4 linked regions of the Drosophila melanogaster genome follow. The gene in region 1 interacts genetically with each later gene. Each region holds a gene or a part of one and is shown in the gene's direction. Other genes may lie near its edges.

Region 1 (5,727 bases):
CATGGTAAAGCTGGTTTGTTGTACAGATGGCTTGCTTGCTTCTGATGCCTTGGAACTGCACAGACTCCCTATTTATACAGAATGCGGCTCGATAAAAACCGCTCCAAATATACAAAAACACTTGTCGTTGCACAATTTGCGAGCAACTCGTTAGTTATAGATGAATTGATATTGAAATGTCGCTTGGTGTATTTGGCAGCGATGGGTAACGCCATTAACGAAACACATAAAGCTTAACAATTGATTTCTTTTCTTTTTGTTTTTTTGTACAAAGGAGCTTCTATAATTAAACAAAATGTGTAGGGGAGAAATAAGAGGTACTTTAAAAATACGCTTACAAAGCGAGGGTGTCCGAATCAACATGTAGGAAAAAAGAAAAGGGTAAGGGAACTAGCAATTAACTAAATAAACGTCCTGGAAGCTGGCCGGTGCTCATGTACTGTTGTTGTTACTTTGCCGCGGCTTGAGTATCAGCTTCCCCGTGTCGTCACAGCTCATATTAAAGTCTCCCAGTACCATTCGCGTTCTCGATGTAATTATTTGCGGAGCTATGACTAGTTTCTGTATGCCCAGGATGAACAGGACGACTGCGGAGAGAAATGATAAGGTTTACAAAATCAGTAAGTCAGTTTCAAACCAAAAAAATTAGATTAGATTAAATGGAAGTGTTTGTTAGCTGAAAATTCTTAATCAGTTGGACTATCAATATTGATATATACAAATCGAATTTGATAAAGCGAAGAGCTTTGACAAGATTAAAGGCAACCTAATGTTGCTAAAATTTGGAGAATGTACTTATGTAGTTTGCATAGATGTGATAGATATAAGGAGTGTATTCTACTCAAAATAACAGTAGAAATACCTAAAAATTTGAAATTCTTGATTTTGATCCTTTCTTTTTACCGAGTAGCCTGAGATAACCTGATATATAGTATCGACTTGCTCTACGATATGATTATATGGATTTAAATAGCATGGTATGGCTTGGTATTAAAATTATTCTCCATACTAGGTAGAATATCCGAGGTTCAATGACCGCCGCTGTTGACTACAAAAAGTGACCTATGTACGGAGTACAGTAGTGGCTACACCGATTCTTACCCAATGTTAGGGTGGCGACTGTGAAGACGGGATGAATCCAGAGGGACTCCGTTAGCGGTACAACGGTGGTGCGCGGATCGCGTAGCCAGTACCAGGCGCTGATGGCGGTGCACATGGACATGGCGGAAAGGACAACTGCAAGAAGCTCTATGGTTATTACGGATTGTAATGCTCCCTGGTGTTCTCATTATACGGATGCAACTTACTGCGCCAGCGGAACGTCGAGGGACGGTACGATGAAACCACTTCGGTGAGGCGCCGCTCGAAGGCCTTGAGATCTGCAGAGGAGCGAGGAAAACAAACCCAGTTATGGTTGGTAAACATAGTCAGTGGCTTGCGCGTTTTCCGGCTCTCTTTTGCCGGCGAGTTACATACCTTCGCAGGCTGACGGTTCCATTGCAGCTATTTCCTCAAAGCTCGTGGCCGTCTTAATGCGATTAAATTTGTCCAGTTTAAATATTATTGTATTTATTATTATTATTTGATGAGGTTCTCATAGCTTTCTTTTCCTCTTTTTATGTTTTTGATGACATTCCACGTTTGAGAGCACTGATAACGGGCTGCGTTTCTCAACACTACACAAAGCAGGGTCGTACCAAAGAGGGGCTCTTTGTTTATTTCCTACTTTCAGTACAAAATGGTTGTATAGCTAATTTAAAGTGAGTATTATATTTATGTATTATTTATATTATATTTATATTATTTTAATACAAAAATATCATAGTTTTTATTATAATATAAATATAATTAATGGCTTACCGGACAAATTAAGTACCCACTAAATGGTCTTCTACATACACCCATGTGTCTAAGTTATTCTTCCTGCAGTACAACGGTCACACTGCGGCAGCTGTTGCAAAAAAAGGCGGATAATATTTGTAGCAAAATCAGTGTTTTTTATACGTAAAATCAACAAATATAAAGTCCCTCGAAGGCATTATGAATAGCACTAAAGTGCCGCCCGAGTGGAAGAGGCGTGTCAAGTCGGAGTACATCAAAATCAGGCAGCAGAAGCGCTACAAACGTGCCGACGAGATCAAGGAGGCGTGGATAAGAAACTGGTAAGCGCGGGAGAGATGGTGGATGTCTGGGAATCGAAAATCTATGTACACATATCCTCCAGGGACGAGCACAACCACAATGTACAGGATCTGTACTGCGAGTCGAAGGTTTGGCAGGCTAAACCCTACGATCCGCCGCATGTGGACTGTGTGAAGCGGGCGGAGGTGACTAGCTACAATGGCATTCCCAGCGGTCCGCAAAAGGTGCCCATTTGCGTGATCAACGCGGTCACTCCCATACCCACCATGTACACGTGGGCACCAACACAGCAGAACTTCATGGTGGAGGATGAGACGGTGCTGCACAATATACCCTATATGGGCGACGAGGTCCTCGATAAGGATGGCAAGTTCATAGAGGAACTGATCAAAAACTACGATGGCAAGGTTCACGGCGACAAGGATCCCTCGTTCATGGACGATGCCATCTTCGTAGAACTGGTGCACGCCCTTATGCGCTCCTACAGCAAGGAACTGGAGGAAGCCGCTCCGGGTACAGCGACTGCCATTAAAACAGAGACGTTGGCGAAATCAAAACAGGGCGAAGATGATGGGGTAGTTGATGTTGACGCAGATGGTGAATCTCCCATGAAGCTTGAGAAAACCGACAGCAAAGGGGATCTGACTGAAGTTGAGAAGAAGGAAACTGAAGAACCGCTGGAGACTGAAGATGCGGATGTTAAGCCCGATGTGGAAGAAGTCAAGGACAAGCTGCCCTTCCCTGCGCCCATTATTTTTCAGGCCATCAGCGCTAACTTTCCAGACAAGGGCACCGCGCAAGAGCTCAAAGAAAAGTATGTAATTTGATAACCAGGTTAGTAAATATCCCTTCTTACGGCTTTTTCTTTTTGCTAGGTACATTGAGCTTACGGAGCACCAGGATCCGGAGCGCCCACAGGAGTGCACACCCAACATTGACGGCATCAAGGCCGAGAGCGTTTCCCGGGAAAGGACTATGCACTCCTTTCACACGCTCTTCTGTCGTCGTTGCTTCAAATACGACTGCTTCCTGCACCGTAAGTTAAACGATGGGAACTGCTGCCAGCTGGGTTACCTAATGACTTTACGTTTTGTTTTTGCTTTTCTTTTCTTGTTTGGAAACAATATTATCTTACCAAAAAACACAAATCTGTACCATTTCTTAAACCCCCAAAAAAAAAAACGAAATTCCAAAATGTATTGAATTAATTGCAATTTAGGTCACCATGTGCAGGGTGAGTCGTTGTTGTAGTTGTTGTTTCGATAACCACACGCACACACTCTCATGCCGTTTGCCCGTCAACGCCTCCGCATCCTCATCTCGCTGTCTATGAATATAATTTTTATAATAACCCATATCGGTGGATAATTTGGCTATGTTTGTCATGTGTCTAAATTGACCCCTCGGTGTTGCTCACCTCATTTTCGTGTGGCTTTGGCTGGACCATTTCTCTCTATCTCTTCAAATGTAACCGATTACCCTCATGCTAATCCAAAAGCGTTTCATAGACATCAAGTGATTTTCGCCCGATTGAGTTATTCTAATCCCGCTGCTCTGTGTTCACAGGCTTGCAAGGACATGCGGGTCCCAATCTCCAGAAGCGTCGCTATCCGGAACTGAAGCCTTTCGCCGAACCTTGCAGCAACTCCTGCTACATGTTGATCGTAAGTTGGATGCACTTTATAAATTTAAATGGTATTTTAATTCTGTTATATGCTGCAGGATGGCATGAAGGAAAAGCTGGCGGCCGATAGCAAGACACCTCCCATTGATTCCTGCAATGAGGCCAGCTCCGAGGACAGTAATGACAGCAACAGTCAGTTTAGCAACAAGGACTTTAATCATGAGAATAGCAAGGATAATGGCCTGACTGTAAATAGCGCCGCTGTGGCTGAGATCAACTCCATTATGGGTCAGTTTTAAGTTAGCAGATTGGTTGGACCATGTGTTAAATATTTCACTTTTTCTCACCAGCTGGCATGATGAACATCACCAGTACGCAGTGCGTTTGGACAGGCGCTGACCAAGCACTTTATCGGGTCTTGCATAAAGTGTATTTAAAGAACTACTGCGCGATTGCGCACAACATGCTGACCAAGACCTGTCGTCAGGTGTACGAGTTTGCCCAGAAGGAGGATGCTGAGTTTAGCTTCGAGGATTTGCGACAGGACTTCACACCTCCGCGCAAGAAGAAGAAGAAGCAACGTCTGTGGTCGCTGCACTGTCGTAAGATTCAGCTAAAGAAGGACTCATCCTCGAATCACGTGTACAACTACACGCCCTGCGACCATCCCGGACATCCATGCGACATGAACTGCTCCTGCATTCAGACACAAAACTTCTGCGAAAAGTTCTGCAACTGCAGCAGCGATTGCCAGAATCGTTTCCCCGGCTGTCGCTGCAAGGCTCAGTGCAATACGAAGCAGTGTCCTTGCTATCTGGCAGTGCGCGAGTGTGATCCCGATCTGTGCCAGGCCTGCGGAGCGGATCAGTTTAAGCTGACCAAGATCACGTGCAAGAACGTGTGCGTGCAGCGAGGACTGCGTAAGAAACCTTCTTATATATCCATATTGGTCTTCGCCACTGTCAACTAATTTAATCTTCAATTGCAGACAAGCACCTGCTCATGGCTCCGTCTGACATCGCCGGCTGGGGCATCTTTCTTAAGGAGGGTGCGCAAAAGAATGAGTTCATTTCGGAATATTGTGGCGAGATCATATCCCAAGATGAAGCCGATCGCCGTGGCAAGGTTTACGACAAGTACATGTGCTCATTTCTTTTCAATCTGAACAACGATTTTGTTGTGGATGCCACTCGGAAGGGCAACAAGATTCGGTTTGCCAATCATTCCATTAATCCCAATTGCTATGCCAAGGTTATGATGGTCACCGGCGATCATCGCATCGGCATCTTTGCCAAGCGGGCCATTCAGCCCGGCGAAGAGCTATTCTTTGACTACAGATACGGACCCACGGAGCAGCTGAAGTTCGTGGGCATAGAGCGTGAAATGGAAATTGTTTGATAACGAGTCTACTTATGAAAATCGTATCATACAAATTGAATAAAACTATATTTTTGAAAACACACCTAAACGGATTTAGCTACATTGGCTATAATTGGTTTGGGTCGCGATTTGAAGATTAATTTTTTGGTGCAAACGGCGCGCACAGTGTACTCCGTTCTTTGGCGACTCTTGTGCTCCTGGGCGATCGTATGATCCAGCACTGTGCGCTCCGCTCCCGTGGTGGCGTTCAGCATACTGACATCCTGCGAGGCCATGCTCGTTTCTAGGAGTCGTTCTCCCTCATTGGTCTTGGACTTTTCCAGCACCGCAAATGGTTTATCCAACTTTTGTTCACGTCCCTGAAGAATGTGATGTCCAATGATGAGAATCTTATGATATAAGTAAAATCAGATTGTTTAAGAGCTGGTTAAATTATAACTTTACAATTACAACTCACAGGTTGGCCATATTTATTGTAGTAGAGATCGCCAATAAACTGGCCGTGCATATCCTGGTTGCTCCGCACCTCCAGGTCGCCTTGCAGCTCTATAATGGCCCAATCGCCTTTGCCAGCGTTTTGT
Region 2 (7,765 bases), on another chromosome or scaffold:
CCTTCACCGCCATCGCTAGGGACCTCGCCTCCGGTTTCCTCCTCTTTAACTGCCTCGGGCAGCTGTGAAGGTTTCGGATGGTTTGGATGACTGGTCTGCTGGTGGTGAGGGTGCTGCTGATTTTGTGGGTGATTTTCTCGCCACAGCTTGCTCTTTGCCTCACTGACGATGCGACGCTGTAGATTCAAGTACTTATTGCGCATACTGCTCCAACTAGTCTTGGGTAGCACCTTGAGCTCCAGGGCACTGGGCTCAATGTTTGGCTTGTCCACGATCGCCTTCTTCTTGCGCTTGCGACGGCGCTTTTTGGCAGCTTCATCGCCATCGGTTGCCTCTGTTTTGTCCTCCTGCTCGGAGGCTTCGGCTGTGCCCTCTGCATCCGTTTCACTCGCTGTTTCCCCAGCTGTAGAGGTCTCGCTAGGCTGGCCCTCCTCCAACTTAACCCGTTTCACCTCGTGTATCTCCTCGCGATCCTTGTCGGTGGCCTCCCTTTTTAGATTTCGCTTTGGCAACTCAACCTGTTCAGCCTCTGACTGCGGCTGCTCCGCTTTCTGTTGTATCTGCTGCTGCTGCTGAAAGGAGCGCACACTGGCCAGATCACTGGGATCGGTTTCTACGGACAAAACGCCCTGTATCTGGGCAAAAGCCTTCACAGCTTTCTCCAAGGACCCGCTCTTTTCGAACTCGATAAAGGCAAATTCCTTGATCTTCTTAGTGCCCGGATAGTGGGGCAGGGACACGTAGGCCACCGGTCCGTAGCGGCTGAATACCTCCTTCAGCCAATCGTGAGTGGCATTTGCAGGCAGGGCCTCTACATACAAGGTTTTGTCGTTGACATCGCGCTGATCTGGTAGCTTGGTACGTCGCTTGACCTTTAGTTCGGTCTCATCCAGCTCCAGAAGCTGGGAGTTGCTTAGTGCCTTGGCTATCTGCTGCACATCCTGGGTGAGCGTCTTTATCTTATTGAAAGTGAGAAAGATTTCCAATGGTACATCTGTAAAAGAATAACATGATCAGTGTTATGTTGGCTGGTGAGCCAACCTTAGCTACTCACATGGATCCTGCTCTACGTAGCGCCGAAGGAAGCGATCCTTGCTCAAGTTGGCGTCACCGAAGTAGAATTCCATTTGACCGCGAATCGAATTGAACAAATGCCTCTTCCTTTTGCGTCCACCATCCTTTTTATCCGGCGATGCGTCTTCCGGCGCCGGTTCTTTGGAATTTTCCTCAGCTGGTTCAGTGGGTGCGGCTGGATCGGGTTTCTCCGCTGATGTCGCGGGCTCCTGACCCTCGCCCTTCTCCTTCTCGATACTCTTGGCAGCCATTGAGTGCCAGTTAACCAGTAATCTAAGTCACTCGAATAAAATATTGCACTTGGTTTTTGCGTTCTGATCTATTTGGCAACGCCGTCTAGTTATGAATTGCTGGGATGCCAGGTATTTGCAGCATTCCCATATCGATAGTTTAACGAATATCGGATTCTAAGTACTGTAACGTACACATAAAAACGAATTGAAGCAAGACCATCAAAGCAATAAAAACTGCTATAATTTGTTTTAAGCGAAAGAGACGTATTTCTTTGCTTTAATTATTACCATTATTTCCCACGCTCCTAATAAGGCTTGGCAGCCAAGCGCAAACAACGGGACTATATCGATAGTTCGGCGCTGTGGCAACCCTACTGCGTTGTTTTGGCGGGCGGCAAAAAAAACACAGATGCTATGCTAACCTATGTGTGTTGTACAGTGCGCCGCTAGAATCGGCAACAACAAAACGAAAATAGTCGGCGAATAGGCGAGAAAATGGTTTATTCTCTCTCGAATTAAAGCGCTGATTCAATTCCGACTAACTATTGAGTGATTAAACCTGCAACAGTCAATAATAAGGCATTACAAGTGCGTTCGATAAACCTAAAGTCTTGCAAGCGAAAAAAAAAAGAAAGGCAAGGCGAAAAGCGAGTGGATGGTGACGCTTAGCTGAGTCGGAAAGTCCAGCCATGGAGTCGATTGTCCTGCATTCGGACGTGGCTCGCTTGGTCCTGGGTAGGTTTTCCCTGGACGCTTTTCTAGCTCGCAATATTTATGCTCTTCCATTTTGTAGGCTACCTAGTCAACCAGAATCTAAAAAGGGCCGCACACACTCTGTGTCGCACATCGCCTCACCTGCGCCACGAGTTCCTGGCCCTTAAACAGGGCCTGCAGACGCACAACTTCCTTCACGGGGGTCTGGAGGAGATAATCTGCGAGCATGTCAAGATCACAAGCTTGGGTAAATTAGCACGCTCCTTGCGTTTCTTTTTTTTTGCGGCTGACCGAAAATCTCTCTTTTCAGTGGCCGGTGCCGTGCAGAAGCTGCCGCTGGATATGCGTATGCAGCTGCAGCAGATGAAGCTGTCCGAACGGGTCAGCGAACTGATAGCCGCCGGCGAGAGGAGTAGCTGTACCAATGAAAGCAGCACCCCAGGCGAGCCCACCATATCACAGTCGCATCGCAAGAGAAGGCGCTTGTAATTATAGATTTTTCCTTGACACAAGCACATCGGAATTCTCATTGCTCTCTTACCCCTTTTCCCCAGGCGCACCCATTCTCCCGTGAACAGCATTTCTTCGCCTTCGTTTAGCAAGCGACCGCGTCTGCTGCCGCCACACTTCTACTGCAGCGTTAACCGCGACAAGGTCAGGCAGAGTTTCCTAGGCAGCCAGGATGACTGCGAGGCGGAACTGGACGAAGAGGATGGCGAGAGCACAACGGCCACCGAGGACTTGGAGGAGGATGACTTACTTCCGGCGAATGGTCCTGGTCCGCGCAACAATTCCACGCCGCGCCAAGGTCATACCGAGTCCAATCCACTTCTGCTCACGCCGCAAAGCATGCCTGTAAGTCCATAGACATGCTTAATGCATATCTGCTTAATTAACCAATAGTGCATCTATTATGTATTCTAAACAAAAAACACTCTTTCGATTTACATTGATTTCAGGAACTGGCCTGCGCGATAATTAAGAATCAGGACTTCCAGGAGACGCTGGTAAAGAATATTAACGTAGCGCTGCAGACGGTGACTGTTAACAATCCGTCGGTAAGCTGTGACGCCATGTTGGATGGTCTAGTGAAGAACATACTGGAGGCCACCGAGAAGGATCCCTCGTTCGATCGCATCATACAGGAGGTGGTGATCGGGGATGAACCATTGGCAAATGAGGAGGACCCTGGTGTGTCGCCTGCCTCTGATGCTGCTGGGGCTGCTATTGTTCCCGCTGCTGATGGAGATGTGCTGCCGACAGAACAGGCCGTGGATCCCGTGCCGCCGCAAACACCGCTTATTATTCGCACCGCCGTTGCAGCCACCGCAGGAACCAATGCAGATCCCAATTTCTCCATCTCCAAGCTTATCGTACTGAACTCCAACGAGAGTGTCCAAAAAATGGTTGCTGGTTTGGATACGTCCAATATCAGCTTTACAAGCGAAGGCCTCAATATAAATTTTGCCGATCCAGCGTCAATGCTCAGCGAGGTGGAGGCGACAGCTGCTGGTCAGGTTTGTGTGGACGCCACCACCGGGCAGCTGACGTTTCCCATGTACCTCTCGAACGGTGGACTGCTGTCGCATCTTCCATTCCTGGTGAACAACGAGTGGGTAGCCCAGCAACTTGGGCCGGATGCCTTTGCCAACATTGATGACTCGCACATTGAGATATCGCTGCCGGAGCCGATTACTCTGTCTGCCAATCAGCTGCCCCCCAATTCCATTATCATTAGCAGCGCCCAGAAACAACCACCTCCCCCAAGCGTGGAGCCTCCAGTCCAGTTGATAAAAGATGCAGCCAAAGTGGACAACAAGGCGGGCCAGGGAACGGCGGCAAAAGAGCAACCGATAGATCAACTAGAGGAGGAGCAGCGAAAGTTTCCACCCGCATCCCTGGATTCATCTAGACAAGTCATGGAGAGAGTGACACCCTCGACGTCGGGAATAATTAACGTAAAGGCCTTTCGTAGCTTATCCACTCCCCGAAAGAGAACTTCGCATGTACGAACATTAACTTTTTCCCCTAAGGTTCCTCCTGGTGGCGTCCTGCATTCCAATACGCCGCTGTCCACTAGGCGACCTGGTTTGCTGGCCAAAGCCCAAGAGAAGCCAATTATCAACCATGTGGAGATCATCCAGGCCGCCTGCGACCTGAGCTCAAACGAGGGCCTTGGAGGAGTGCCACCACTCTTCGCCATGGAGGAGTGCAGCAATCAGACGGTGATCAGGGCCCATCCTCCAGCTGCCGCTCCGTCAGCAGCTCCGGTTCCTCCGTTGGTGGCCACGCCCAAAAGAAAACAGAAGCGACAAGCAGCGGTCAAGGCCTGCAAGCGAATCATCTCCCAGGCGGAATCGGAAACCAAGACGGATAAGGATCAAAAGAAAATTATGCCCAAAAATAACTCTGCCTGCAGCGCATCGTCGACCGCTCACGATGACAGCGCCGAGGCCAGCAAAGAGAATCTCCAGGAGCAGCAGAAGATTGAAGGAAAGCCAGATGTAGGCTCCGCCGCCAGAGGAGACGCAGTTGTAGATAACGATATGGCCGCCTGGCAGCGCCAGTTGCATGGCTCCAATTCTGACCTTGAAAATCGGCTGCGTGAGATTAACTCCAAGCGCGAGGAGGTAAAGGCCTCCGGCCGCTCGAGGCGTCCAAAGAAGAAAGATACACCCACTTCAGCTTCGTCGAGAGCACGAAAGGCTCCAATGGTCAAAGCGAAGGCGGAGCCCATGAATCTGGCAAAGAAACCGCAGCGCAGTGTTGGGGATTCCACTGAGAAGATCAACATCAAGATTATCACTCCTCAGAAACCAAAGCTCCTGAAGAAAAAGAAGGTGTTTGAGGCAAAAGAAGAAATCATAGACGAAACCATAGAAGAAACCATAGACGAAACCCAAGCGGAGATCGAGGAAAAGGATCAGAAGAAGAAAAGTGAACAAGGATGCATATATGCAAAGGATCAGGAGCAAGCGAAGGCCTTAGCGGCAGAACTGTCGCGACCCAACATGGCCATGCTTCTGGACACTCCGTTTAAAGCATCTCCCATTGGAGCAGGAGCAAGCGGAGCCGTAGAAGATGACACCACATCAAAGGAAGCTGGTGTTGGTGTAGCCGCTATCATCCCACCCACGCCAGGAATGGCCATTCCACCTCTGGACACGCCATATGGCAAGTTGCCCAGTAGCAGCTTTCTCTTTGGTTCGGATACCAAAAGTATTATGGATACGCCCCAGTTGAGTGCCATCACACCTGGATTTCGCTTGACACCTTTTGGACAGATGCCCGGTACTCCGATAGGCAGTGCTGCCAAGACTGAGTACTCTTCAGGCAGTTCCTATTATCGTCCGGATGAAGCGGAACACACCGATGCGAATGCGCAGTGCGCAATACAACAGTGGGGTGATCCGCAGGATAAGAAACAACCCAAGGTTCGGTCAACGCCCAAGAAGAAAAAGGTTGAGGCAGAGGATGAGCTTTCGCAACAGAAGAATCAAGAGCTAATAGAAATGGAGTGTTCAAAGAAAAGCCTTCATCCGGAGGACAAACATGCTGAGGACAATAAGAAAACACCGAAAAGACCAGAGAAGCCAATGGATGAACATCTGAAGGAAACTGAAAACGATGGTGAAAAGAATGAAACGGTTTTAGAAAAGACACCAGATGCTGTGAAGCAACCCGTTGTCCTGTCCTTGGAGCCCACCGTCCTTCGACGCGTTCGATCCTTTGGCAGTGAGGCGGTGGACAGTGCGGAGTCCGCTACAGCTGGCTCATTTCCCTCCGATCAGCAGCAGCTTCCGCACTATAAACTTTTGCCTGGCCTGCCCGAGGCAATTATTGAAGGATCTAGTAATTCTAGCTCCTCGGCAACCAGTTCATCGTCCTCATCCAGTTCGAGCTCAAGCTCCTCCAGTAGTTCATCATCGAGTTCCTCATCCTCGTCAAGTTCTCACAGCGGAAAGGGGGAAAGCAGAGGGGAAGAGGCAAATGGCGAGAATGCCGACGAAAAGTGCAGCAAGAAAAAGGAGATGCTACTAAACATAGATAACTTATCGAACATTAGCAGCACGGAAGACGAAGAGTGGCTGAAGGCAGCCGGTTCTGAGGATGCAGTTCTGCCCATGCTTGCTATCGACAGTCAGCCAGGTCAGTTAGTTAGCCAGGACGGGGAGGTCCGCTATCCTATCCGGAATTGGCTGACACCAAGCAAAGAGCAGGCCCAGGAGACGGATACCAGTGGAGAACAGCAAACAAAACCTACACCTCCTAAACCGGTGGCTGCTCCTGTTCCGCCTCCGCCGCTTCCTCTAACACCGCCAGCTGCTCCTCCGCCGCCTCCACCGCCTCCGCCAGAGGCGGACGATCCTTCATCCGTCGCTCTTCCAACGGCCTCTACAAGCCGTCAGGAACACCAACGCCAGCAGCTGAATGAAAAACGCCAACGTGTAGTGGCCAAGTTTAAGGAGCAACCCCAACCGATCAAAGGTCAAGGGAGAAAGACTGCCAACAAGAAGCTCACTGCAATGCGTGAAAATGCCAAACTGGCCAATCCAAGCAGTCAAAAATCGCCAAAAAATCGAAAGCACATCGAACCACTGAAAACAAAAGCAGCTAAAAAGCAAATAGAACCAAATCCGAATGTTAAGTCCACAGAGGCTACTGGTCCGCCAGTCGGTGCCGCCACAGATGCGCCAGCAGATCCGCCAGCCGGCAAATTGGATCCCGCTCTGCTCATGGCCCTCAATCTATCTGCGAAAAAACAGGAATCATTACCGATTGTAATCAAACCAAAGGTAAATCGAGCAGCGGTTGAAATTGCGGCACAGCCTGCCCCTGGAAAACGTGGACGCCCGAAAAAGGTACAGAACGGGGAGCCAGCCAATCTCTGTATGCGACGATCCTCGCGCCTAGTCGAAAATAAAAGTAAGTAGTTAAGATCCAATCGAATGGGTATTGAAACTAATATATTGTCTTTGCAAAACTAGCTCCTGCTCCGGAAGATCTCTCCAAATCCACTGAAGGAGCAAAGACGAAGACCCAAATCAAGGCAAATACCAAGAAACCGGCCAAGAAACGTGTCGAGGCAAGGGTACCCTCCTCCACAACCGATGCTCCGGCACTGCCCATTGTAGCGGAGGCGGAATCCACCCAAAAATCTCCAAAGCAAAAGCCGCAAATTCAGCAAACAATACAAGAACCTAAACAGGATCCACCGCCATCGAAATGCGATTCGGAGCCCGATGACAGCGACTTCGAGCAGGACATGTGCCTGAGCAGCAGCCAGGAGCGTTTTACCTATAATTTCACATATGCGGACAACGGACCAAAGTCCAGCAATCCGATGATACGTCAGCCATCGAGCTATTTCAAAAGCTATCAGATGCGCTTGATGACCGATGACGAACAGCTGCATACGCTGCGCATAGCCAGTGCCCAGGTGCTCTGTCTGGGCCAACCGGTGGCCAGCGCCATTCGCAATATACCCAAGAAGCGGATACGCCGCCTGACCGGCAATAGTGGCGGGACAGCGGCAACAGGGGGAAGTGCAAGTGTAAGTGGAGGAAGTGGAACGGGAGCGGAAGTTGCTGCTGCTGGCGAACAGCCTTCGGCCACGTCTACGCCGCTGGTGGAGAAGCCCCCATCCAGGAGTGGGCCGCAAGATGAGGAAGATCTGGAGGTGGCCACCATGTAAGTGGTGAACATATGCATTTTATTTTTTGTATGCTTATCATAATAATAAT
Region 3 (4,664 bases), on another chromosome or scaffold:
AGAGTTTTATCAAATTGTAAAACCAAACTTTATATTCCAATTATTTTTAGGTTTTGAAACTCTTCAGTTCTTCATTCTGCATTGTTATTATAGCACGTTTCATCCATATAAATACACAAGATTAAAGGCAAATGACAATAATATCCGAAAAGATAGCTAGATAATGAATAATTACGCTTTTTAGCTACACAGCGGCCACAATGACAGCACTGTTCCTCGTACGAATGCTAACGTTAAGAAGAGGAAGAGACGAGCGGTGCTGGGTTGAAAAAAACTGGAAAAGGGGGGAAATTGGCGCAAATTGTGCACGCGAGGCGCAGCAGGGACGTTGGATCTTAACTATCGGTTTGTGTTCCTTACTTTGCGGCAAAATTAATGCAACCAATTGCCGATATACTGAGAAAAATGGCATAATTAAATAACCAGATCCAACGCATGTAGTGTAAAAAGTCGGGCATTATTCCCAATCGCAAAAGAGAGAGAATCGGTATCACTCGCTGACCCGTCTCGTTCGAGTCTTGATCGCGGTATCTCGCTTGCACCCACATACCGAGCGCCAGCCAGTCATATGGCCGTCCCGTTCATTTCGGTGACAACGTGTCGGTGTGTGTGCATCAGTGTGCAAGCTTATATGTGTGCGCTGTGTATCTGCAACAAACAACGGCGGCCGCTAACAAAAAAAATTGTAAATAAATACGCTGCCGTTCGACAGCGCGCGAAAATCGAAAAAGTGCTCGAAAAGTCAACGAAAGAGCGCCCCCAAAAGAATATAAAAAATTCCGCTAGCGGAAAGGGGGGAACAACAGAAGCAAGTGGGACATTTATTGAACAATTTGAAAATTAATTTGTTCTGTGCGTTGTTTGCATGACCACCGGTTCGTCGGACAAGGACGACGATAGTGTATCCTTCGGCGGCTGATTTTTCGGCTTGCCTCTCTCTCACACGTTCTCTTTGTCTCTCACGGCAAGAGCGAACGGAAAACACGCTAACACTGAACCCACCAGAGATGCGCAAATCCAATGACTCGATTACTTACGTGATCCTCTGTAAATATCGTTTTTCCTTTGAAGAACTTTAAACTAGATTTTTACGATGGACAAACGTTTTCAAAATTAATGTCTACAAATACTTTTTTAAACAAAAAATTCTAAACAACTGCACTCATTCAAGATGTTGATTTATTAATTCATATTAAACATCTTTTTGGAATACCTATTTGATCTCAAAAACGCTGCAAAGAATATTCATTTCATAATGATGTTGGTCTCCAACCAATGATGTTTCTTACAAAACTTCTTTGTGCACATTTTCAAGTGACCGCATAAAAGTATCGGCGAATGTGTCACCGTCATCATGTGGTCATCTCTGGACTCGCTGCTTCGTTATCTGGCGCGCCATATGTGTGCGCGTGTGTGCGTATCGGCTCTTTGGGAGCGCATGGCGTGAGCGGTCTCGCCGACGCAGAGAGCGAGGGACTAGAGCAAAACAGTGTTCCGACAGCGGTTAACAGCTGTTACGGGGCCAACAGACTGCTAGCAAAGGCATTTATATGGATTTCGGGTCGTAACAGTACGACAACAGCGGCCAAACAGCACGCGAGAGCGACGAGAGCCCACTCGCGTGTTGTGTTAAACAGTCAATTTTAGTGTATTTCCGAGCTCGGTGGTGTATTTGAACGGCTAGCCGCGGTCACACTGAAGCAAAAACATTTTTGGCTCGGAGAACGATTAACACAAGCGGACTGAAATTTTTTTGTTTTAGTGTTGCGAAAAAGTTTGTGGGATTTTTATAAAATCGCCGGAAAATGTGAAAAATATATGGTATAAAACCGAAATTCGGCAAAATTGCAAAGTATAGTTAGAAATTTAGTGCGTGGCAATCGGTGACGGTGGAAAAATAAAAATACCGGCCAAAATCGGGCTGAAATTTTTTTCAAATTTTCTACGGCATTTTCTTGAATTTCGTATTTTCGCCAAATATTTTTGCGATTTTTGTGTGGGCCGGGAAAAATGAAAAACGCTCTGGCGGAGACAACACAAAAAATTTCTGCAATAGAAACTTTGAAACGACGTGAAGAAGAAAACGAAACGAAAACGACGAACGAACACAGAAAAAAAATGGAATATATTTCTGTCGTCTGTTTTTCTTTCTTTTTCCAATGCTCCTCGCACTCGTTGCCGTTTACCGTCGTGTGTATATTGCACACTAATGCCGCTTGGCACTAATACCATCGCATGCTTTCTCTCTCGGACTCGTGCTCGCTCTTGCACGAACTCGCTGTTTTCGAAGTGTGCGTGTGTGTAACTGTGTGGTGAAAACGGCGTTGGCGTCGCTGTGAGAATTCTGTACGCGCGCCCCAAACCCCAAATGTGTGCGTGCGTGAGTGTGTGAAAGCTTTTGTCAGCCAGCCCCACTGCACTCTAGTGTCATCCCGCTCGCACCCCACTCGCCACTCGCCGCCCCAACAAATTGAATTTCATATGATGGCCGCTCGAATGCGGAAGCAAAACCAAAATACGGCCACTTTTTCGGCCATTTAATTTATAAACTAGACTATAGACTACAGCCGCAACTGGCTGATACTTCAATTAATTTTTTTAAGCAGTGCTCTGACTTTTATTACCTGTAAAGGTGTGAAATTTTTTTTCCAAAAATGTATTTGTCATAAAAATGTTAAGCATGTTTCAAAGTATATTTTTGCCAACGACGGCACTTGTTTTCCATATTTTTTAGGGGACTGGCGGCAAAATGAAATTATTATTTTCATTTTCGTGGTGTGCGCCAAAAGAGCGAGAGGCCAACACACACGTCTGCGAGTAAAATAACGAGTACAGCGCTGGTAGTATTGGCGAATAAAATTGCGAGGCAAGAACAGACAAGAGAGAGAGAGAGAGTGAGTGGTCGTCAAGCGGCACACAGATGAGTGCAACGAGACCGAGAGAATTCTCGGTACTGTTCTCGTTGTTCTTCCCTTTTCGCCCCGTCTTCGGCACGTCTCGTCGCATTTTAGTTTCGTTTTGTTTCCATTTTCCCCTCGGTTTCGCTGTCCACTCGCGCGCGGCTAAATTACAAAAAAGAAAGAAGAAAATAAATAAATATTGCTTTCGATTTGTGTTCGTCCATTCAACATAATCTAATAGGCTGTGTATTATTCTTCTTGTGCGTTTGCAGTTAATGTGTAATGCTAGAGCGGCAAACGTCGGCAGCAGCAGCAGCAGCAACAACATCAGCATCGACAAAAACAACAGCAGCGCGCCAGCAACAAAAACAAACCGAAACACAACAAACCCAACAACAGCCAACAATGTGAATTGCTTTTTTTTCCTTATTAATTGTAAACGATAACCGAATCAAGTGCAATCAAAATTAAACACAAGCATATATAATATATGGTCAAAATATCTATATATATATATATATATTCCTGTGTAACAAAAAGCCGCCAAAAACAAATCACATAAAATATGTAAGATAGCGGAGAAAAAGGCGGAAAGAAAAGGAAGAGAAAGAGGAGAGAGCCAAACCAAGAACCGTTCTTTTTCGCTCAGTGGAGGCAGGCAGGCAACAACAGACAAACAAACAAACAAACAATAACAAGAGCCGCCCAGCCAAGGTCAACTTTTGGTGTTTTTGGGGCCCAACAACACAAAATGCACGCGTGTGTCTGCTGCTGTTCGACAAACAACAATTGCAACAACGAGAACAACGACGGCAGCAGCAGCAGCAGCAGTAACCACAACAACAACGACAGCAGCATCAGCAGCAGCAGCAAAAACAAATTGCAGCTAAAAAAGCGCAGGGCCGAAGTCGAAGAAGAAGAAGAGGTACTGGTCAAGCGGACGCAGGATAAGAACAAGCATCAAGAGGAGCAGGAGCAGGAGGAGCACCAGGCGGTGGAAAAGTTGTCTGCTGGCCAAAGCGCCAGTGGCGGCGACAACGATCTCAACGGCGCCGCAACGAGAAGGCGGTGGTGGCTGCGCGATCCTCCAGGATCAGCGGAAGCGGCAGAAGGAGAGGGAAAAGGCGAAGGAGTGGAAGTGGGTGTGGGAGCAGAAGGATCAGCGGGCACAGGTCCGACGACGTGGTGGTGGTCAGCTCCATCCGTTGACGTTGCGGTGACGATAGCGCCGGCTACGTTGTTGCTGTCGTTGCAGCGGCAATTAGCAAAGGAATTATCTAAATCAACAACAACAACTGCAACAAGAACAACAACAGAAGCCACATCCTTAGCAATAAAAAGCGGAGCAGCAGCGTTAATATCATCATTAAGTGCAAGCATCGCCAACATCATCGATTACAAGATCCCAAAACACCAATACCAAAACCAAATCCCAATCCTCGCCAGCCACGCCTTTTGAGTGCCTCTTTGTGTGTTGTGTATTGTGCGTGCGTGTGTTGCAAAGTGTCCAAACTAATCAAGAAATCTACAACTTAAAACACTAAACACTTAACCAAACAAACAACCTGTGCAACAATTGTCAAAGTGCTAGGCGACAAATAATTTCTGAAAGAAGATTTGACAAGTTCCAATAACGAAAATATCAGAACACACTCGAACTCCAACATAGACGGATCATTGGAGAGTTAGTGAAAAAAAAAAGCGAAAAATCAGAAAAACTTTATAAACTAATAGAAACAATACTACTCAGATTTTTCGAACGTT
Region 4 (6,147 bases), on another chromosome or scaffold:
GTAGCCGCACAAGGCCTCCGTGATGTTGATCTCCAGGTCTCGCATGTACAGATTGGCATGGCGGCGCTGAAAGATTGGATGTTCCATCTGGGAGATGACTACAATCAGATCCCCAAATTCGCCGCCTCGCATTTGGTGGCCCTCATTTGCGAAGGGAACTTTTAGCATGTGCGGTGCTCCTCGCTCCACAACCAGGTCCCGCTTCATCTTCTGCTCTACGAAACCACTGCCCTGGCAGGGACTGCACTTCTTGTCGTCCCTTATGGTGAAGCCCCTGCCATCGCAAGTCGGACAGGTCTGCAAAAAAAAATAATTTAAATAATCTGCTCCGAAGTGTGGTATATGGGATCTCCACGGATGTGTGGTCCGCGGTGTGCATTCACTACAACTACAATCAATTCTTACATACCGTATCGAAGGGGCTGAGACCCATGAAGGTAAATGCGGCCGCTCGTCCAGCTCCGCCGCAGGTCTCGCAGCTCTCGTGCGCTTCCTTGGGACCGCCATCGCCGTTACACTTGGAGCACAGCTTCTGGCGATTGTACTCCACCTTCTTCTTCATGCCGCCGACGTAGATCTCCTCCAGGGTCAGCTCCACTTTTACCACGACTTTGCCATTGCGCCTGCCCCGACCTTCGGACGAGACTCGATCGAAGGGGAACCACTGGGCGAAGAATTCGGAGGCATCAGAGAATCCCTCGGCGCCCTCTTGCAGGCCCTTCAATCCATATCGGTCGTAGATGCGCCGCTTCTCGGGATCGGACAGCACTTCGTAGGCGAAGGATATTTCTTTAAACTTGTCGCCCGCATCGGGATTCTTGTCTGGATGGAACTCTTTTGCCAATTTTCGGTAGTTCTATTGGTGAAAAGGTGAATACAAACTATTTACCAACATATCGAATTGGAACTGTTACATACCTTTTTTATTTCCTCATCAGTTGCATCCGGAGCCACTTTAAGAACGTCGTATAAATTTAGGTTGTCCATTTCCTATTGCATCCCCAGTCCCCCTACAAACTAAAATATTTTGTACATTGTAAGTGTACGACTTATTAAATTATTTAACAATGTATTTATGACAATATTTTCAAGTCATATTGGCTAACAAGTATGCCCAAGTTCTACCAAAAACCTATAATTTTGGGGAAAGTACCAAATAAATACTTAAAATCGCAGCTTTTTTGGGGAACAGTAGACACTTGCTGGAACGTTCTGGAAATCTGTTTACACATTTTTGTATTTAACAGCTTGATGGAAGTTTTTGGACATATGAACTGCATATTATCAATACATCAATTTATAATACTACTATGAAATGTGTAAATATTGGACAAAAAAATTATTTTTACTTAATTGTTTAAATATCGAGTAAATTTGATAAGTAAAAGAGTGCTAAAATTAAAGTTCGAAGCATAATTTAAAATTAATTTTACTAACTTTTTGACAAATTATTGATATATTTTAAACAGTTTTTAAAGAAATGGATTAAATTAGATATGACATAAGGCAGTGGCCACTGTAGCAACACGTAATCACCCTCAAAAATCCCAAAAAATACTAAAAACATACCGTGATGAGTCATGCTGGCGGCACTTTCCATGCAGAAACGCGTTAGCACTTTCCACACGACGTGTCAGGGTCCCACCCGAATCACGTCTGCCAGCCCACATACACACACAGGCGCAGCTACGTGTGCCATCTTGCTTTTTTCATCGGAAAATTTTCCAGAAACTACGCTCGAAAATTACGAAAAAATCGCAACCAAATGGTGTCGAAATTTTTTTAAAATTTAAGTTTCGTGCATATACGTGAAATAAAGTCGGGTTGGTTGAAAAAATCGCGGCCAAACGATCGCTGGAGAATTTTTTCAATCAAGCCAAATGGGTGCGAAGCTGACGACGTAAAAATTTTTGTGTGTACCAACGAAAGAGCGGAGAAAACGGACGAGGCGAGAGCGCAAAGCGGAGAGACCGAGGAAACACTCGCGCAAGAAGAAGAAGAGCCAGCAACAGCACCAACTACGAGAGTTTTCTCTCCGTGAGTCTGTGTGTGTGCGCGTGTGCGCGCGCTTGGGTTCGGAAAAAATGATGGAAAATTACGAGGAAATTCGCCTGGGCCACATTAGGTCTAAAGATCTGGGCAACCAGGTGCCAGACACTACGCAATTCTATCCGCCAACTAAGTTTGATTTTGGCGCGGAAATTCTGGCCTCAACGTCAACAGAGGCAGAGGCAGAGGCAGAAGCAACAGCAACAACCACAGAACCAGCAACAAGCGAACTTGCTGGCAAAGCAAATGGTGAAATCAAAACAAAAACATTGGCTGCCAGGGAAGAACAAGAGATTGGCGCCAATTTGGAGCATAAAACCAAAAATCCCACAAAGTCAATGGGCGAGGATGAAGATGACGAGGAGGAGGAGGAAGAGGACGATGAGGAGGAGGAGGAGGACGACGAGGAGGGAATCACCGGAACGAGCAACGAGGATGAGGACTCCAGCTCAAATTGCTCCTCATCCGTGGAACCCGACTGGAAGCTGCGCTGGTTGCAACGAGAATTTTACACAGGTCGTGTGCCGCGCCAGGTTATTGCCAGCATTATGCCGCATTTCGCCACCGGCCTGGCGGGCGACACCGACGACTCCGTGCTGTGGGACTATTTGGCCCACCTGTTGAACGAGCCGAAGCGGCGCAACAAGCTGGCCTCAGTGAACACCTTCGACGATGTCATCAGTTTGGTCAAGAAATCACAGAAGATCATTGTGCTAACGGGAGCCGGAGTATCCGTCTCCTGCGGCATTCCGGACTTCCGGTCCACCAATGGCATATATGCGCGATTGGCCCATGATTTTCCCGATCTGCCCGATCCGCAGGCCATGTTTGATATCAACTACTTCAAGAGGGATCCACGACCGTTCTACAAGTTTGCCCGCGAGATATATCCCGGCGAGTTTCAGCCCTCACCCTGCCATCGTTTCATCAAAATGCTGGAGACCAAGGGCAAACTGTTGCGCAACTACACACAGAACATCGACACCCTCGAGCGGGTGGCAGGCATTCAGCGAGTAATCGAGTGTCACGGCTCCTTTTCAACGGCCTCGTGCACCAAGTGTCGTTTCAAGTGCAACGCTGACGCCCTGCGGGCGGACATATTTGCCCAGCGAATTCCGGTGTGCCCGCAGTGCCAGCCCAATAAGGAGCAGAGCGTGGATGCCTCGGTGGCCGTTACTGAGGAGGAGCTGCGCCAACTGGTCGAGAACGGCATCATGAAGCCGGATATCGTCTTTTTCGGCGAGGGTAGGTGCCATTTTTATACAGATTTATTATATATTATCAATAGCCTTGGTAAAATAAATGCAAGAATTTCAAATTCGACGATCAAAAGAAGTGTTTATTTAAGAGATAAACTATTGAAAATACAAAGTAACGCTATTTACCATATATCATATTGTGTTTGCTTTTCATATTGCCAACAGGACTGCCGGATGAGTACCACACGGTCATGGCCACCGACAAGGACGTGTGCGATCTACTGATCGTGATCGGCTCCTCGCTGAAGGTCCGACCTGTGGCCCACATTCCCAGCAGCATACCGGCCACGGTGCCGCAGATTCTTATCAATCGCGAGCAGCTGCATCACCTTAAGTTCGATGTGGAGCTGCTGGGCGACTCCGATGTGATCATCAACCAGATTTGCCACCGGTTGTCGGACAACGATGATTGCTGGCGGCAGCTGTGCTGCGATGAGTCAGTGCTTACCGAAAGCAAGGAGCTAATGCCTCCGGAGCACTCTAATCACCACCTCCATCATCATCTACTTCACCACCGCCACTGCAGTTCAGAGAGCGAGCGACAGTCGCAACTGGACACGGATACGCAGTCTATTAAATCAAATAGTTCGGCGGACTACATACTAGGATCAGCTGGCACCTGCTCGGATAGTGGATTTGAGTCATCTACTTTTAGCTGTGGAAAGCGTTCCACTGCCGCCGAAGCGGCAGCCATCGAACGTATTAAAACAGACATACTGGTTGAGCTGAACGAGACCACAGCCCTAAGTTGCGATCGTCTGGGCCTGGAAGGCCCTCAGACAACGGTGGAGAGCTATCGCCATCTTTCCATTGATTCCTCCAAGGATAGCGGCATCGAGCAGTGCGACAACGAAGCCACGCCTAGCTACGTGCGACCCAGCAATCTTGTTCAGGAGACCAAGACAGTGGCGCCCAGCCTGACGCCCATTCCACAACAGAGGGGAAAGCGACAGACAGCAGCCGAGCGTCTGCAGCCTGGAACATTCTATTCGCACACCAACAACTATTCGTATGTGTTTCCAGGAGCCCAGGTATTCTGGGACAACGATTACAGCGATGATGATGACGAAGAAGAGGAAAGATCACACAATAGACACAGTGATCTCTTTGGCAATGTGGGGCACAATTATAAGGATGATGATGAGGATGCATGTGATCTGAACGCCGTTCCATTGTCACCATTGCTACCGCCTTCACTGGAGGCTCACATAGTCACCGATATAGTGAATGGATCCAACGAACCGCTGCCCAACAGCAGTCCCGGCCAGAAAAGAACCGCCTGCATTATAGAACAGCAGCCAACGCCCGCTATTGAAACGGAAATTCCCCCACTAAAGAAGCGGCGACCAAGTGAGGAAAATAAGCAGCAGACCCAAATAGAAAGATCTGAGGAGAGTCCGCCTCCAGGACAGTTAGCAGCAGTGTAAACGTAATCTTAGCCCCTGCTAGTAGTGTAGTATTTATTTTAAATGCAATTCAAGCCAACTTGTAAACAGAGAAGCTGCGAAATCGTAGCCGAGGGCCATGTTACCAATTTCATTCCCCGGAAAGGTACTGGAATCGGAAACGGTAAACCGTTTACTTGTTATTTATTTAGAATATGAGAACACTTCAATTCCCGGTATCACGAAGTTTTCAAGAAATGAAACCGGATCCACTAGTTTACTCAATTCGAGGCTTTAGAGATCTGACCCTCGTTGCTTTACCACCAACCCCTTATGCCCAATCCCGTTTTGATATTTTTGAAAAACTCTTAGTTTATTTATTATCTCTCTTTTTCAAAACGAAACGCTGTAAATGTTAGTATTTTATTATATTAAGTTGTTATTGAGGCCTTTTTAGACAAACTAAAGAGATAAGCGGAAAGTTGAAAATCCTTTAGAAAGCAGGATTTCTTTGTATTCAAAGAGAAGCAGCGCCTCAACTTTAAATCTAGTTCTAAGCGTAACATATTCAAAACTATGCAAATGCAAACGGAAAAATACGTTAGTTTTAGTTAAAAACTAGACACAAACACTCTGTATATAAGCACTCGCCCCTAATTTGTATTGTACATGATTCTTTTTCTACTTTTTTGTGTTATCTCCTTACCATTTTATATTTCTATCGGTTATGGCAACTATTTTTTAACATTTATACACTCGCACCCACATCAAAATGTAACAGCGCATGGATTTCAAAATATTCATAAGAGTTGGAAATTTGGTGTGCGTGTTTGAAATGTTTATTCGAAACCTAGCATAAATATATAGCCACCAAACGCAGTGTAAACATAGCAGTAAGAATTTAGTCTATATGTCTTAAAAGTGTATTAATATCCAGAATATAAACCAATCTAAAAAAAAAAAAAACAGAAATGAAAATGAGTTTTGACTGTAGAGCACATATAAACCCAAAGAAAACCAACACATATAAAAGTTAGTCGGCGATATTTCAATACTTGCAATTTTGAATTCGGTTTTATTAAAGTATCTTGACATTAGCTGGTACCTTAGGGATATCTAAATACATATTTTATCATTAAGGTTGCCTTCTTCAAAAGTTTGCCTTACACCAATAATGCCCTCCTTGCAGAGATGTGTGACACCGGAACGAAGTTAACCGAAGGAGAGAGCGGCTAGTTAATCGTGGATCTTACAGACTAGGAGCGACTTCCAATCGCTCCGTTTACGACTGAAAGTTGAGGGCATGCTGCCTGGGTTATTTGCTTGCGCTTGCTTCTATATAAAATATGATATTCTTGGGTCCTATATAATCGGCGACGGCTTATTTTATGTACACTGTACAAGCCCATGCTATGCAATCTCCCCATATATTCATGTGAATACATGTGTTGCAT

The links.
Region 2: of E(z) (region 1) and mxc, changing one enhances a phenotype caused by changing the other (phenotypic enhancement), as found in Drosophila melanogaster (2 studies listed by BioGRID).
Region 3: of E(z) (region 1) and nej, changing one suppresses a phenotype caused by changing the other (phenotypic suppression), as found in Drosophila melanogaster (one study listed by BioGRID).
Region 4: of E(z) (region 1) and Sirt1, changing one enhances a phenotype caused by changing the other (phenotypic enhancement), as found in Drosophila melanogaster (one study listed by BioGRID).

Annotation. Positions count from the first base shown.
Region 1 is NT_037436.4:10,634,075-10,639,801, reverse strand, and holds E(z) (enhancer of zeste), read left to right. Parts: upstream 1-1,922; 5' UTR 1,923-2,040; coding exon 2,041-2,162; intron 2,163-2,224; coding exon 2,225-2,956; intron 2,957-3,017; coding exon 3,018-3,178; intron 3,179-3,361; coding exon 3,362-3,376; intron 3,377-3,708; coding exon 3,709-3,806; intron 3,807-3,864; coding exon 3,865-4,054; intron 4,055-4,116; coding exon 4,117-4,686; intron 4,687-4,754; coding exon 4,755-5,164; 3' UTR 5,165-5,227; downstream 5,228-5,727. Other genes in the region: CG18628 (uncharacterized protein), read right to left, coding at 1-3; Cnep1r2 (CTD nuclear envelope phosphatase 1 regulatory subunit 2), read right to left, coding at 433-587, 1,102-1,248, 1,308-1,379, 1,477-1,498; CG34001 (uncharacterized protein), read right to left, coding at 5,230-5,535, 5,604-5,727. UniProt on the Drosophila melanogaster protein: Polycomb group (PcG) protein. Catalytic subunit of the Esc/E(z) complex, which methylates 'Lys-9' and 'Lys-27' of histone H3, leading to transcriptional repression of the affected target gene.
Region 2 is NC_004354.4:9,237,436-9,245,200, reverse strand, and holds the start of mxc (multi sex combs), read left to right. Parts: upstream 1-1,733; 5' UTR 1,734-1,996; coding exon 1,997-2,042; intron 2,043-2,100; coding exon 2,101-2,268; intron 2,269-2,331; coding exon 2,332-2,506; intron 2,507-2,575; coding exon 2,576-2,876; intron 2,877-2,980; coding exon 2,981-6,947; intron 6,948-7,009; coding exon 7,010-7,712; intron 7,713-7,765. Other genes in the region: Larp7 (La related protein 7), read right to left, coding at 1-994, 1,055-1,325.
Region 3 is NC_004354.4:9,682,660-9,687,323, reverse strand, and holds the start of nej (nejire), read left to right. Parts: upstream 1-1,656; 5' UTR 1,657-1,774; exon of another isoform or gene 1,775-1,821; intron 1,822-3,172; 5' UTR 3,173-4,664.
Region 4 is NT_033779.5:13,163,907-13,170,053, forward strand, and holds Sirt1 (sirtuin 1), read left to right. Parts: upstream 1-1,657; 5' UTR 1,658-2,084; coding exon 2,085-3,294; intron 3,295-3,473; coding exon 3,474-4,735; 3' UTR 4,736-5,645; downstream 5,646-6,147. Other genes in the region: DnaJ-H (DnaJ homolog), read right to left, coding at 1-297, 410-856, 919-987. UniProt on the Drosophila melanogaster protein: NAD-dependent histone deacetylase involved in heterochromatic silencing. Mildly suppresses the heterochromatin-mediated silencing phenomenon known as position-effect variegation (PEV). Required for epigenetic silencing of the polycomb group proteins.